Lonchura striata: one gene and its partner. The protein of the gene in region 1 purifies or fractionates together with the protein of each later gene. This does not show direct contact. Links are inferred from orthologs where the notes say so. Each region holds a gene or a part of one and is shown in the gene's direction. Other genes may lie near its edges.

The links.
Region 2: the proteins of POP4 (region 1) and RPP25 purify together in Homo sapiens (affinity purification with mass spectrometry; 3 studies listed by BioGRID and IntAct, counting the BioPlex papers as one, with this or other methods). This does not show direct contact. The link is inferred for Lonchura striata from reciprocal best matches to the Homo sapiens genes POP4 and RPP25.

Annotation. Positions count from the first base shown.
Region 1 is NC_134615.1:9,385,988-9,393,607, reverse strand, and holds the start of POP4 (ribonuclease P protein subunit p29), read left to right. Parts: upstream 1-4,362; 5' UTR 4,363-4,449; coding exon 4,450-4,456; intron 4,457-5,117; coding exon 5,118-5,170; intron 5,171-5,503; coding exon 5,504-5,727; intron 5,728-6,361; coding exon 6,362-6,439; intron 6,440-6,661; coding exon 6,662-6,723; intron 6,724-7,050; coding exon 7,051-7,152; intron 7,153-7,551; coding exon 7,552-7,620. UniProt on the Homo sapiens protein: Component of ribonuclease P, a ribonucleoprotein complex that generates mature tRNA molecules by cleaving their 5'-ends.
Region 2 is NC_134613.1:5,876,547-5,883,296, forward strand, and holds RPP25 (ribonuclease P protein subunit p25), read left to right. Parts: upstream 1-3,987; 5' UTR 3,988-4,477; coding exon 4,478-5,101; 3' UTR 5,102-5,889; downstream 5,890-6,750. UniProt on the Homo sapiens protein: Component of ribonuclease P, a ribonucleoprotein complex that generates mature tRNA molecules by cleaving their 5'-ends. Also a component of the MRP ribonuclease complex, which cleaves pre-rRNA sequences.

The DNA of each region.
Region 1 (7,620 bases):
CAAAGTAATGACTGTGAGACACTGTCATGGAATACTATGAATGCTGGTATTAATTAGTAAATACAAGCTGTTCAGGAGCAGAAGTGGTGCCTGTCATGCTGATGTGTGTTTGGATCATATGTGATCCCAGCATGCAGGGAAAGCAAATGTCAGCTGCCAAAGCCTCAGCTTTCCTGACTGCTCGTTACTGTTTTGGGAAGCAAGTGTTGCTATTTTAGCACTGGTCTGCGCACCAAGGTATGTAGTTTGCAGGAGTTATCTTCAGGTATTCTAGGGTTGCCCATATTTTAAATATTTTAAGATGGATATATTTTTTTATATTGATACAAGAATTTATTGGTGTTTAAAAAGTTATCTCCTTATTCTGTGGTGAAATTGAATTCCTTCACAATCCTCTTTGTGAATTCCTCTCGTGAATTCCTTCACAATCCTCTTTTCACTGACACTGTGATGCAGAAGAGGCTGGTAGGTGGAGGAACTGGAGTTCTGTATGATAAACCAAGCTGCAAATGGGCACTTTTCTTCCATAAGAGGACACTATTTGTAAAGTTTTATAATTTACTTTTTACCCTACGACAGTGAACTGTATTCCAAATGCACTGTACAGTCTCGGGCTGCCCTCTAGTGTGAGCAGCTGTGGAGACAGGGCACAGCCTGCCAAAAACCTGCCTCCTTTCACTTTGTTTTTTTAAAACCCAGCTATTAAACCATTGGGATTTTCTGAAAACATTTTTAGATTATTATTTGGTTTTGATTTCTGTGCCACTGAGATCTATTTGGATTGTACTTCCCCGTGCTTTCTTGTTTCTGTCAGGCACACACAAGCCAGTCTTGTCTGTGCCCTGGAGCAGCAGCTGCAATTCAAGATGAGGAGCCAGGACTGCAAGGAAATAATGACTCTTCAGCTGGGAAGGACGGTTTATCAGCTTGGGGCGGGGGCAGAACACGATGACAAGCTTTGAGTTAAGGGCGAGCTGATAAAGCAGAAAAATTAATGGAAAAATATATGGAAAAGACACATTTGAGGGATACATGGTACTTCAAAAGATGCTGCTCATCAGTCAAACACAGCAATCTAAAATCAGTCAACCGAGGACCTAATGCAAGAGTTTGGGCTTACACACATAAATATTGCAAACCTGCCTCTGGCATACATACCTACACTGACACGAGATGAAGGTTCAGGCTATGCCCACCCACCACCCCCAGACATGACCCTTTGCTGGATGGGTTTTTCCAGGGATCACCAAGGACTGACTCCCTGGGAGGGTCCTGGCTGCACAGCCAGTGCTGGGAGGGAAGAGCTGTGTTGGGAATGGTCAGCCACTGGCCCTAAAAGTGCTGGCACTGAGCTCCCCCAGGCCCAAAGGAGATGTCAGGAGCAGGATGCCAAGTCTGGGTGCCGGCAGGAGCTGTGGGATGGTGGCAGGGCTGGCATGGACTGGATGGATGCTGCTTCAGCACACTCATGGGAAGGGGGTGGGAATTGTATTACCTGGATAGAGGAAATCAGATCAGAGGGCTTTAAATAGAAATTATTTTCACCAGTACAGATGTCCCTAGGGACTAAATTCAGCTGCTAATACAATTTGGCCAAGAGGAATAAACTATATTGATCTTGAGAGCTCAAATGCTTGCTGAGACAGTCCTTCTAGAGAATTACAGTATTTATTTCCTGCATCACTGTCAGCAAAAGTATAGCAGTGATTACGGCGCAGTGACTTTTTGCACACACCAGTTAACTTCACGCTCATCTCTCGCCTCAGTGCATAATTACTCTTTTTTATTTTTTTAATCCCTGATCTGCTATTCTTGTGTAACACAAACATCTTTAATTATACTGTCTTTGGTCACTTCACATCTCAGGTTTTAGCTTTCTGTGACTGTCACAATAAAGATCATTGTGTAATTGCTCCAGAGCCACCCAGCTCTCCCAGGACCCTGCTGCTCCCCAGCCTGTCCTGCACATGGGTCCTTGCCCATCCCAGCAGTTCAGCAGCCCCAAGAGGCACAGCAATATCCTCCCCTAGGGCACACTGCTAGACTGTGTCCATGAAGGGGGTTTGCATAAGTGTGAGTGGGATGTTATTATTTTTGGAGAGCAATAAATAAAGCCATGTAGATTAAATTGGATAAGAAACACCAATGTTGGCACCTATAACATGGTATTAATTATATATATCATGGAACTTTATCACTACAAACCTATTCCAAGGGGATTTGCTTTATGTCAAAAGCTTCAAAATTCTAAGATACTAAGATAGGGTGCTGCACATCCCAAAATAATCATTACAGTTTTTTGCTGGCATATTTCCATATCACTTTACATTCACATCTTACCCATATTTCCTCATTTCTCTGAACCTTCTTTTTCTTATCTGCAAACTGCCTTTGCCTATTCTGTGGTTTCTCAGTTTCTTCACCTATTCTTTGTCATGTTTATTTGATGTGAGCCTCGACTCCTGACAGAGAGCCTTCTTGCCAGGACACACAGTAACGCGCTGAGCTCGCTCCCTCAGACATTATAGCTGAAGATAAATTGGGAAATGAAGATGTAGAGCTGTTGGAAGAAACTGGTTTCCCCAGGCGCCAGTTTAGCCTGGATCATTGGATTTACAACACCAGCACCGACAACACTGATTTGACTATTAATCCCTGAAGTGCCCTAAGAATTGCAGCATAAATCCAGTGAAGGAGCACTCATATGGCCCTAAAGACCCATAGCACTTATCCTGGTACTCCATTCATGAAAATTGATCTTCTCATAGTAGCAATGACAACTCAAGGAGTCCCCGCTTTGTAAAACCAAGAGATCCACTTGCTGTGGTTACATACTTTACTGCCTGGAGGTCTGTGATAAAAACCAGCTGCTGTTCATGTTTATACTCTGCAGACACTGGCCCCTTCTCCTTTACACACAACCAGAGAGATCTACTGTTTCATTCCCTGTTAGGGATCACTTTAGTACCTTTGTGCCCCACAGCAGCACTCCACAAAACCATCATGCTTCCTATACCCTGCCCCTGTAACTCCCTCCCCAAATATCCTTTACCAAGCAGTGCTTAATTATCTGCTAAGCAAATATCACCATGTGAAAAGAATATAAATATTTTCTGTATCTTTGCTTATGCCTGAACAGAGAACTGCAGGGGTTGGGACTGGGCTGGCAGGAAAAAGAATTGACCATGCTGGTTTCAAGACACTTCTGTTTTGTAAGTGAGCAGGACTTTGTCCTGTCCCAGAAGGAAAGAGGCCCTGATGTGTCAGAGCATGTAAATCTCACAGCAAGTGGCATCTTCCTGTGTCCTGACCTTGATTGCTAGAAGCAGGAGATTGGTTTTAACTTGATTTTAACCCAAGATCTCATGTTGCCAGGTGTGCAGTTCCAGGACAGCTCTGACACACTGTTAACAACTGAGAGCAGAGCCAGGCACTCCCTGCAGCGACAGCCAGGGCTGTGGCTGGAGAGGCCGTGTAGGACAGGGTGGGACTAGGAAAGAACTTCTCTCCTGTTGTAAATGCAGGCAAACCCAATGGGAAGAAATGACAATGTCTGACTCAGTTCAGAAGGCTGAATGACTTCTTTATTATAACTATGCTAAAATACATGAATATACTATAAAAAGGAAGATACTACAACTACATACCTACTTTTCTAACTACCATATCTAACTAAGTCACAACTGGTGACCCTCTCTCGAGAGTCCAGCCACAGGTGTGTTGGGTTGGCCATCAGGCTCAAACAATCCTCACCAGAATCCAATCAAGCAATCACCCCATGTAAACAATCCTCCAAACACATTCCTCATGACAAAAACAAGGAGCAGAAATAGAAATTGCTTTCTCTTTTTTTTCCCTGTGCACCTCTATGAAAATTCCTGAGAGAGAGGAATGTGCCAGTGACACTGTCCTGCCAGGAGAGGCGGCAGCGGCGGAACCTCAGCAGGGGCAGCGGCGCAGCGCCGCCACGGCCCGGAGCCGGGGCGGCGGCCGGCTCCAGCGCCACTCCGGGAAATCGGGAAGGGCGGATCTCCTGAACAAAGAGGCAACAGAAGAGGGAGGCGAGGAGGAGAGGTGGCACTGGGAATCCCAGCGGCTGCGGGCTGAGGGGGCAGTGAGGGCGGGCTGCCGACTCTGCCGTTCTGGGGGAGGACGCTGCCATGGCCGTGCTGCCGCAGCGCTCAGCGCCTGTCCGCCACCGCGCCCCACGGGGATTGACAGCGCTTTTAAAAACCTCCCCCGTCACAGGAAACGGAATGGCTGCTGTTCAGTGCCTCCCAGGTCAGAATTTATCAGCGCAAGAGCAGGAAATAGCAGGAAAAAGCCAACTGCTACGGCAGCCGCCCTCACGGCGGGCGGCAACGCCGCCTTGCGGCCAGGTCGGGAAGCGCCGCTGTGCGCACGCGTGTGCGACTCGTCATCGGCCGGCGCCGGCTGCGGCAGGACGCCATGGAGGGTGAGGGGAGAGAGGGGAGAGAGGGGAGAGAGGGGAGAGAGGGGAGAGAGGGGAGAGAGGGGAGAGAGGGGAGAGAGGGGAGAGAGGGGAGAGAGGGGAGAGAGGGGAGAGAGGGCGAGGGATGGAGGGAGCGATGAGCGGGGAGAAGGGAGGGAGGGCGAGGGATGGAGGGAGCGATGGTGGGGGAGAAGGGAGAGAGAGGGCGAGGGATGGAGGGAGCAGTGCGGGGCGAGGGATGGAGGGCGAGAGATGAGGTCTCGGAGAGCGGTGGAGGGGAGGGATGGAGAGTGAAGGATGAAGAATGAAGGGATGAGGGGAAAGCGGTGGAGGGTGAGGGGACGAGGGGAGAGTGATGGAGGGTGAGGGGATGGAGGGCGGTGCAGTGAGGCCTGGAGGGCGGGCGGTTCGAAGCGAGGGATGGAGGGCGGGCGGTGCAAAGGGAGGGACGGGGGCGGGCATTGCGAGGCGAGGGATGGGGCGGGCGCGGGGGGCGGTGGAGGATGAGGGGCGCAGGGAGGGCGGTGGAGGATGAGGGGCGCAGGGAGGGCGGTGGAGGATGAGGGGCGCAGGGAGGGCGGTGGAGGATGAGGGGCGCAGGGGGCGGTGGGGCCAGGGGCGGGCTGAGCCCCGCCGCGCTGACCCGCCCCGCCGTGCCCGGCAGGGCAGCTGTACCGCCGGCTGCCGCCCGAGGAGAGCGGGGAGCCGCGCCTGCAGGTACGGACCCGCAGCCCCGCCGCGGCACCTGGCCAGTCCGCTCCTACGCGGCCTCTCAAACCCCGCCGGGCTCCCGCGGGCGGGGGTGGGTTCGGGCCCCGGTTTCCCCTGTATATCCCGCTTGGAACTCGCTGTTTCAAACGAAATGCGAAACGAGGGCTTTTCCTCCAAAACGTGAGTCCGCCGGCCTTCGGCATCTCCCTCCACCGGCACTGAGGGGAAAATCTCCCATTCCCACGGAGATTTTGCCGACTGGATGAAACCACCGGTCAGCAACAAGTTCTAACTTAATTAACACCTAAAATTTTAAAGCATCCTTTCAACTGTCTTTAGCCCCAGGGCTCAGAAGAAGCCAAGACATTTGTACATGCCTTCCTGAGGCGCAGCATGCCCAAAATGAAAGATGAAGCTATCCAGGATATGCTAAATCGGAAAGCTGTCATTCTGGAGCATTATCCCAAAAAAAAGACCAAGCAAAAGAGGAAGAAGACAAAAGGTTTTACTGCCAAGCAGAGGCGAGAGCTGCGTCTGTTTGAAATTGAACCTGAGCAGCAAAGGTAGGGCTTTAAATATAACTTTGTGTAGTAAAGTGGAACTACATCAAAAGTGTGTAAAAGCAGTAGCAAGTGCATGTGGATAGGAGCCCTGCAGTGTGCAAAGTCAGTCTGAAACACTGCTTGTGGCATTTCAGCATGAGAAAAGAATTCTCTTGTCTGCACAGGTGAAAGATTAATTTCTGTTGAGCTCATTTTGTGTACCTAAATATGACAAGAAATCAAACCCAGTCACAATCCCCTCTGGTTCCAGTTTGTAAAGTTGGACTGTCTGTGACCACAGAGTCAAAGTTCTGCATAAGGTTCTTTGAATTTATTGTGCTGAATGAAGCCCCTACTTTGCTAACAAATTAAGCAGGGAGGTAAAAGAATAGGCAAAAAAGGAGAAATTTCTTCAGTCTTAGCCTGATGCTCTGAAACACATCACTGTTTTAGGTTGGTAGAAAAGAACATGCTTTGTGCTTGTTTTATAAAGTAAACCAGCTGTTTGGAGTGGGTCACATTGCAGGGTAACTTAAGCTTATGTAACTTAAAAATGTCAGACTTAACTCTGTGGAAGTACAGACTACTTCAGCCAATGGACTTTTTTACAACTAAATTTTGTTTAATACTTTTCATTTATCTTTTTTTACTGCAGATATGCCATTTTCCTCCCACTCCACGAGCTTTGGAAACAGTATATCAGAGACCTGTGCCATGGACTCAAACCTGATGCGTATGTTGACATATTTTAAATTTAGTCTGGGTTTTATACAGTAGATACTTCCAATTTTATTGAGTTACTACTTGAAACACTGTGGCTCACTGATAAGCATATTGGTACTATTTTACAGAATCACAGAATTATCATGATTATAATAGTTATGGTGACATTTTGTAAATCTGACAGTTCATTTGATTTTTTTCCCTCCTCTCTGATCCCGTTCTCTTCTTCAAGGCAACCCCATATGATTCAGAGCAAGCTGCTCAAAGCTGATCTCCATGGAGCCATTGTTACAGGTATTTTGTTTGTTTGCTTGTAGAACATCATCTAAAGTTCAGTATTTGATTCTGTAGTTCAGGTGCTTATTTTTATATTCCTTTCAGCTTCGTTAGCTCTAAAATCATGTAGTTGAGATCTTATTTCTCTCCTTAAAAATGCTAATTACTTTACAACTACTCTTGAAAATCATGTTGGTTGCAAAGGTTAACTGCACATTTTACCAGTGATTACTGTAACTACATTAGTTCAGAATATTTAAATGTTTATGTTTGAAAATGTATAAAATCATGAAGCAACAGGAGAAGAGCAGATAAATTTTCTAATACATATTGTTGTTCTTTCAGTTACAAAATCAAAGTGCCCCTCTTATGTTGGGATAACAGGAATCATTCTACAGGAATTTAAACACATCTTCAAAATTATCACTAAAGAGGATAAGTTAAAAGGTATACAAGGCATTCTTTTTCAGTTCTTTTCATGACATGAATCATAAAAAAATTCTTGAGCACACTCTTCATTTTGTGCTGCTGCGTACATTGTTTTATATCAGTGCTTTTGGCTCTTTGCACAGAGTGGCAGAGGTTACCACCCTACACATCACAAATGAGCAGTTTTAGAAGATGTAACACTGAACTGTATGCTCCTGCAGGAGAATTAACTTTGGTTATTCCAGTTAAATGTGGAGGCTTGGGTTATTTTTCTTCTCTTGATAAAGTATAAAATCCTTGAAATGTGTCAAGGCTCAAATCTCCGGGTGAATAACATCCCCTGGTATGTCAGGATATTTCCACAACAGGGACTTAAATCAGCACACTTTGCTCAGTTTATGTCCTTTTGCATTTCAGTTGTTCCCAAACTTAACAACGTGTTTAGCTTGGAGCTTGATGGATTCATTTCCTACATCTATGGCAGCA
Region 2 (6,750 bases), on another chromosome or scaffold:
GATGACCCCATAGCAGGGGGCCCAGCTGTCCACTCTGACCCCTTTCTGGACCCTGAGCTGTCCCCCTGAGAGAACAGGGACCCCTGCACATCTCCATGCCCTGCCCAGCAGCGGGGAAGGAAGGAAGGGGTGGGATTGGGATCATGGATTCCCACTCCCGCCAAGCACTGGAGATGCTCAGCGCCTTGGAGAGCTGCTCTGGCTCTGCCTGTGGACACTGAGCACACTGGATATTTGGGGCTGAATTCTTGTCCCTTATTTCTTTCTCTCCAGCTTTCTCTCACCTGAATTTCCTCCCCACCTGCATCTCTGCTGCCTCAGCACCCTCCCATCCCACTGAGGCTTTGGGAATGGTCACATACAGAGCTGATCCTTGCCCTTGGCACTGCCACATTTTTGCCTGCCTGCAGGTTTTCCAGTCAGGGATATTCAGGAATCAAATGGATATGTTCTCCCCTGCTTCACAGGGATGCCTGGAGAGCCAAGGGATAACAGGTGGAAGAGCCTCCCTGTCCATCCCACACTCCCTGAGCAGGGCAGGCTGGGCAGGAAAGGCAGGCCCAAAGAAAAGGCTGCATCAAGCAGCAAAGTCTCAGCAAGCAAACAGATTCAAAAACAAGGAAATCAATCCACAGGTCCAGTTTAGTGTCAGTCGGTAGGTTGGAGTCCAGACCAGCTGCAGCTGACCCAGAAACCAGTCCTGACATAGCTGAGACTAGGACTGAGACCCCTGGGTTGAGCTTAAAAAGAGCTCCTGGGCCGTGGGCACAGGGGGTTGGAGTCCTAGATGGGGTTGGTGAGGAACATTCAGGTTTATTAATGTCCTCAGGGTCCTTACAACATCCCTCTTCTTATTATGCTGGAGCTCTGCAAAGGGATTTGTCTTATGAAAGGGATTTTTCCCTTTTCTTTTACCGTTGGGTTATTCAAAATGAGGATTATCTTGAGCTCTGTAATTTTCTGCTTATGGCAGGGATAAGAACTCAGCAGAGAGCTGGTGCCACCCTAGGGTGCTCCTAGGGTTCCTCTGGCATCTTGGCACAGCCCCTGCGCCCTGGGCTGTATCCTCAGGGGGCTGCTGCTGGGAAGCAGCAGCTCTGGACCCTGACTGGGATGAGGGCAGGGGATCCCTGCAGCTGTGGCATCCTGGAGGTGCCTGTGCACCCCTTTTGCCAGGGTTGCAATGTGCCCTGGCATCAGCCCGCTGCCGAGTGCAACGTGATGAGAGGCTGAGACCTGAGCTGCGCCGATGTGACGCAGAGATGGGCGATGGCACCGAGACTTTCCTTGTATCGGATGCTCCCACTTTCCGTCCTCTTCCCAACCAGGGCCACCTTGCATGAAAGAAAATATGGAGAGGGCAGGTGGAGGACAGGGGCTCAGGTTACTGCTCCTCTCCACCTGCTCTGATCTCCATTAGGAATATGTTTCTGGGGTTTTTTCCCCACTTTTCCAGGTCTGTCTGGGCTCTGTGCTGCATCCAGCAGCCCTCTCCATTCCTGTCACCACAAGCTCTCCTCTTGGCTGCTCTCCCAAACAGCTCTTCCAAGCTCACACCTCCTGTGGGGTTGGGACCAGGCAAGAGGGTCCCACAGGGATTTGGAAATCCTCTGGCATGGGGTTGGGATGGCACTGGAATGCTCAGAGAGAAACTGTAATGGGAAAGGGGAACCAGAAAACACTCTCTGGGTGTGGGTCCCACTGTAACCAGAGTGGCTGCTCAAGGAGGGCAGACAGACAATACTCAGCATGTAATTCTTTTACTCTTATTTTTTCATCACTCCTGCCTTCCCCATTTGCTTCTTCTCCATTTTAAAGGACTCCCCATCCTCTTTTCCAGCTTTTGTTTCCCTGATTCCCCACGGCTGGAGCTGTCTGTGCCTTTGTCCCCCCATCTCTGCTTTTCCTTTCCCACCCTACTGAGCTCATTTCAGCTATTCCTTGGCTTGGAGTAACCCATCCACACTGTTGTCCTCCAACAAATAAGCTGACAGGCTAATGAATAGCTTCAGATGGTAATTAGCAACGGAGTTGCTAATAATGAATTTCATTTACATTTTAAGCGCTGCAGAGGGAAAATAAGCCCCTGTCATTAATGCCCCCCTGCTCCCAGCACAGCCTTGGCCTTGGGGGGAATGCACCCTCTGGAAGCCTTTCTGTGATTGCACCTCTCCCGCCTCCATTTCGGAGGCTGCGATAAGCAGAGTTCATTAAGCAGCAATTAGAGATGGAGGGGGGGAGAAGCTGCTGCTGCTTCCATCATCTGATGGTGGGGAAGCGCCATGGTGCCATGGAAAATGGGCCACGGGAGGCAGGAGCTGGTTCTGGGCCAGGAAAGAAGGGCTGGGTGGTTCAGCCAGCACCAGGGATTCACGTGGCTTGCCCAGAGCCCTGGAGCTGTCAGCTCTCCACATCCATGTAACCCTCCCAGGCTCCCTGGATAATGACCCTGAGGGATTTCTCAGTCACTGAAATCCTTCCCGATTATTTCCCTAGGGGTTTAGCACATTTTGAAGGCAGGAATTTCCCTGAGGGGCTTAATCCATCCCTGCCTGCCCAAAGAAAGAGCCAAGTGCCTTCTGCATGGATTCCATGATTTGTTGGCAAATGGAAAGATGGAGAAATGTCATTGTTTTGTCTTGTAGGAGTGGGGAATCCATGGTGGGAGCACAGGGAACAGGTTTGCCCACTACTGCAGAGCATCAGAAGGGACTTGGGAATGCTCAAAGCCTGGATCTGGTGCTGGGGGTGAGCCTAGGAGTGTTGCTTGCCCTGCCTCAGTTTCCCTCTGTGCCCAAGGCGCCTCAGGGAGGGTTAGATGGATTGGGAAACAATGCTCCGCATCTACAGGGGTTTTCCAGCACACTGCTTGTGGATGGAGGGTCCCATCCCATCCCATCCCATCCCATCCCACAGACCCACCCAGACCCCAGTCCAGTGGTTGGATCAGGGGGTGTCCCAAATCCATCCCCATTTAGGCAGTGGTATACATAGAAAGCTGCTTTGGGGACCACAGGGATGAGGGATTCTCCCCAGATAGGATGTGACAGCCACATCCTGCCTTCACCTTTGCAGACATGGATCGATTTTATGATTTATTTATTTATTTATTTATGTTTTTTTTTTCAAGCCCTGCTAGAAGTGAAACCAATCCAGGGGCCTCCAGAGGCCGATAAGATTTGACTGCAAGTCAATACTCACATGTCTTTCCACTGTGCAATGATCCCCCGGCCAGCGGGGCGGGAGGGGACAGGCAGGTGACAGGGGCGGGCAGAAGGCCAGCCTGGGGCAGGGACATCGCCTCTGCTCTGGGAAGGGATTGGGGGCAGGAAGGGGACATCTCCTAGCCTGCAGCAGGGATTTTCTGGGATTTGTTGCCAGTATATATAATGGTGAGCCCGCAGTGGGCAGCTCCACATTGGGGATGAATGAGGGACAGGGACTGGGAGAGCTGCAGGGAGAGGGAGGGATGGGGAAGGAGGAGGAGCGGGAGAGAGGGAGAGAAATTGCCCATGAAAACCAGCTCTGCCATGGCATCTGCTCCTCGGAGCTTTGGGAATTGAGAGGTTTTCCTGCTGGCAAAGCCGGGGCTGAGGCAGCAGGGTGCTGGGGGGAGCAGAGCCCTGGCACACTCGATGCACGCTCGCCTGCGATGCCATCTGCCAGGCTTTCTCCTGGCTGCGGGTTCCTGTGGCTTCTCTCATGGCTAACAAGGGTCGAGCTCAGACTCCGAAGTACTTCCTGAAGTACCTGCTGCATCTTTGTGCCATCCCTGGACACAGCGTGGCTGGGATTCCGCATCCCTCTGGGAATGCTGCAGGGCAGGCAGGCAGGGTGACATTTGCAGTTAGCAGTGGGCGTCCTTGAGAGGAGCGAGCACCGAGAGAAGGGACCAGGTTCTCTTTAAGGGGGCAGGACTTTGGGAACATTATGAAGGCAAGAGTGAGCTTCTCCCTCTGCCTTCCACCCTCCCCTCCTTCCCTTCTCTGTTCCAGGACAGAGACCTGGGTTCCCTGCCCTCCCCTTTGCCTGGCAGGGATGAAGGCAGGAGCAGGGTGCTGGGATGGGCGGCTGAGCAGGGGAGGAGGAGGAGGAGGGGAGGAAGGGGAGGGAGAGGGGGAGGATCTGCTAATTACACAGAACAGCTCTGGGGGCTGCTGAAGTCCAGAATGAAGCAAAGAGCAGCAGAAGCGAGTGCTGCAGCGGGAGCGGAGGAGCCCAAGCATCACCAAGAGCTGGAGCTGGCTGTTATCCCTGCTGAGAGCAACTGGGAGCACCCAGAGGATCCTGCAGCCCTGCCTCCCACAGGAGACAGCCTCTGGCACTGCCACCGAGCCCACAGCCAGCCCCTGGAGAGCCGAGGAGAAAGGGCTGGTGGTTGCAGCACACAGGGCTGGGCTGGAGGGCAGCGAGGTCAGCCCTGCTATGGTTGCCGGGGGCTAGGAGCCTGTGTGGATCCACCGGGAAGAGGTGAAGGATGGCTGCCGAAGGAGGGAGAGCCAAGCCCGCTGCCCAGTCCAGGATGGAGAACTTCCGAAAGGTGAGGACCTCGGAGGAGGAGATGCCATTACCCTTCCCAGACCTGCCCCCGGACGTGGTGGAGATGAAAGTCAAGGAGGGCAGCAAGATCAGGAACCTGATGAACTTCGCCATGGCCCAGATGGAGCTGAAGGGCAGGCGGCAGATCGTGTTCAGCGGCTGCGGCAGGGCGGTCACCAAGACCATCACCTGCGTGGAGATCATGAAGCGCAAGCTGGGAGGGCTCCACCAGGTCACCAAGGTACGCTACAAAACTGTGCTGGAGGTCTGGGAGAACCAGGACCCACCGCCCGACGGCCCCGCACAGAACCTGACTGTCCACAAGAACGTCCCCTCCATCTGCATCCTGCTCTCCCGGGACCCCCTGGATCCCAACCAGATGGGGTACCAGCCCCCCGAGCCCCGGCATGAGGCGGGAGAAGACACACTGGGGTCCTCCACCAAGGGGCTGAAGCGGACGCTGCCACCTCCCTGCGAGGAGCTGCTGCCCAAGAAGCTGCAGGTACAGGTGCCTGACAGCCCCAGGGGCACGGGGACCACTGCTGGCCAGCAGGACCACTGACCCCAGTGCCTCCCACCCTACCAGCCAGGTATCGAGGCAGGAATATCCACTCATTCCAAGGTCACTGGTGGGCTGCAGACTCCCCCTGACCTGTCCCCACTTGCTGCTTTGACCCCTGTGGATGGGGGTCCCCAGATTTGGCGTGAGTGTTAAACGGTTAAACCCTCCATGGATTGAAGCAGGTGAGGCTGTGGGGGGGAGCTGGTGACCTCTAATTCAGCCAACCAGGGACACTGTGACCACCAGCCACCTCCTGCAGCAACTCCCAGGGAGCCAGAGCAGCCGAGGGGTGCCTGGACCACCACACCGCTCCCCACTGCAAACACCTCATCCATCAGGAGAGATGGGTTTGCTCCAAGCTTGTTGGAATAAAACCTTCATTATCAAACCTGCCGCTGAGGAGCTGTTGGAGTTACTAATGACAGGCTCAGCATCCTGTGAGACTGTGATTCATCCCAAAAAAATCACCCAAACAAGCACAGGGGTTGTTCTCTCCCTGCACCCACAGAGCCAAGCACTGTACTGTGCTGCCTGCCTGTGGGACAGCAAAAGGAAATAAAACAACCCACACTGGATACTCTGGTCTGGAGCTCGGGGAAGCCACGGTGTGGGAAGCTGGGGGCAATGGAAGCATTGGGCAGGGGATTATTGTGACTGGATGCAGTGCCCAGCACAGGATGAGGAGGTTTTGGGGTTGTGCCTTGGCTGCAGAGTGCTTCAGAGCAAAATCCCTGCTACTTCCAGGGGGTAAAGAGAAATGAATGGAAAATAAAAGCTCTTTAGAAATAGATATGTCTATGGGAAAAAGGGGGGATCATCGTGGCTGCTGGCCATGGCACGGATCAGCACAGTGAAGGCTGCTGCCAGCCCTCAACAAGGGGATCCCAGCCAGACTCTGTCCCTTGGAAGAACGGGACTGGGGTCTCCTGTGCCGGCACAGCAGCACCTGGCAAAGCCCCAGTTCCAGGGGGGACGGAGGAGATGTGGGGGATGTGTTATGGGATGCCAAGCCTTGATCCACCTGGTTCCCTCTGCCCAGCGCCTAGCAGCACTGCGGGATGAATTAATCGGTATTAAGGAGCAAACCCTTCCCAAAATCCACGTGAGGGATTCTCTGGCTGCAGCTGCCTTATCTCCCTGCCTCACTCCTGCTCTACAGGGACAGTCAGCGTTCTCTCTTTGTCAAGGGCTTGCTTGGCTGGGAGTGGGAATGAAAGGAGAGGAGGAGGAAGAGGAGGAAGCAGGGTCTGTTTTGTGAGGCAGTGACCTTGTTATCTCCCTCAGCAGGCAGATGCTCCTCGGGCCAGACGCTTGTGCTTATCTGTCCTACTGCAGATTGATTCCCTTCACTTGAACATTAATTTCCAACTGTTTTGTTTTTATGTTAATGATCTTTTTTTGTTGTTGTTGTTGGTTTGGGGATGGTAAAGCTTTGGGCTCTATCCCATCCAGCTCCCCCCAGCTCCTTTATGCAGTGCAGACCCCATCTGAAGGATCTAATGATCAACCCTTCACCCCACACAGGAGCACCAGGTACAGCCACCTACACCAAATACATTAAAAATTACTAATAAAATTAATTTAAAACCCTGTAATTAATAAATCTCTCTGTAAACACCCTGATCAGAACCTGAAGACTGTGGGAGTCA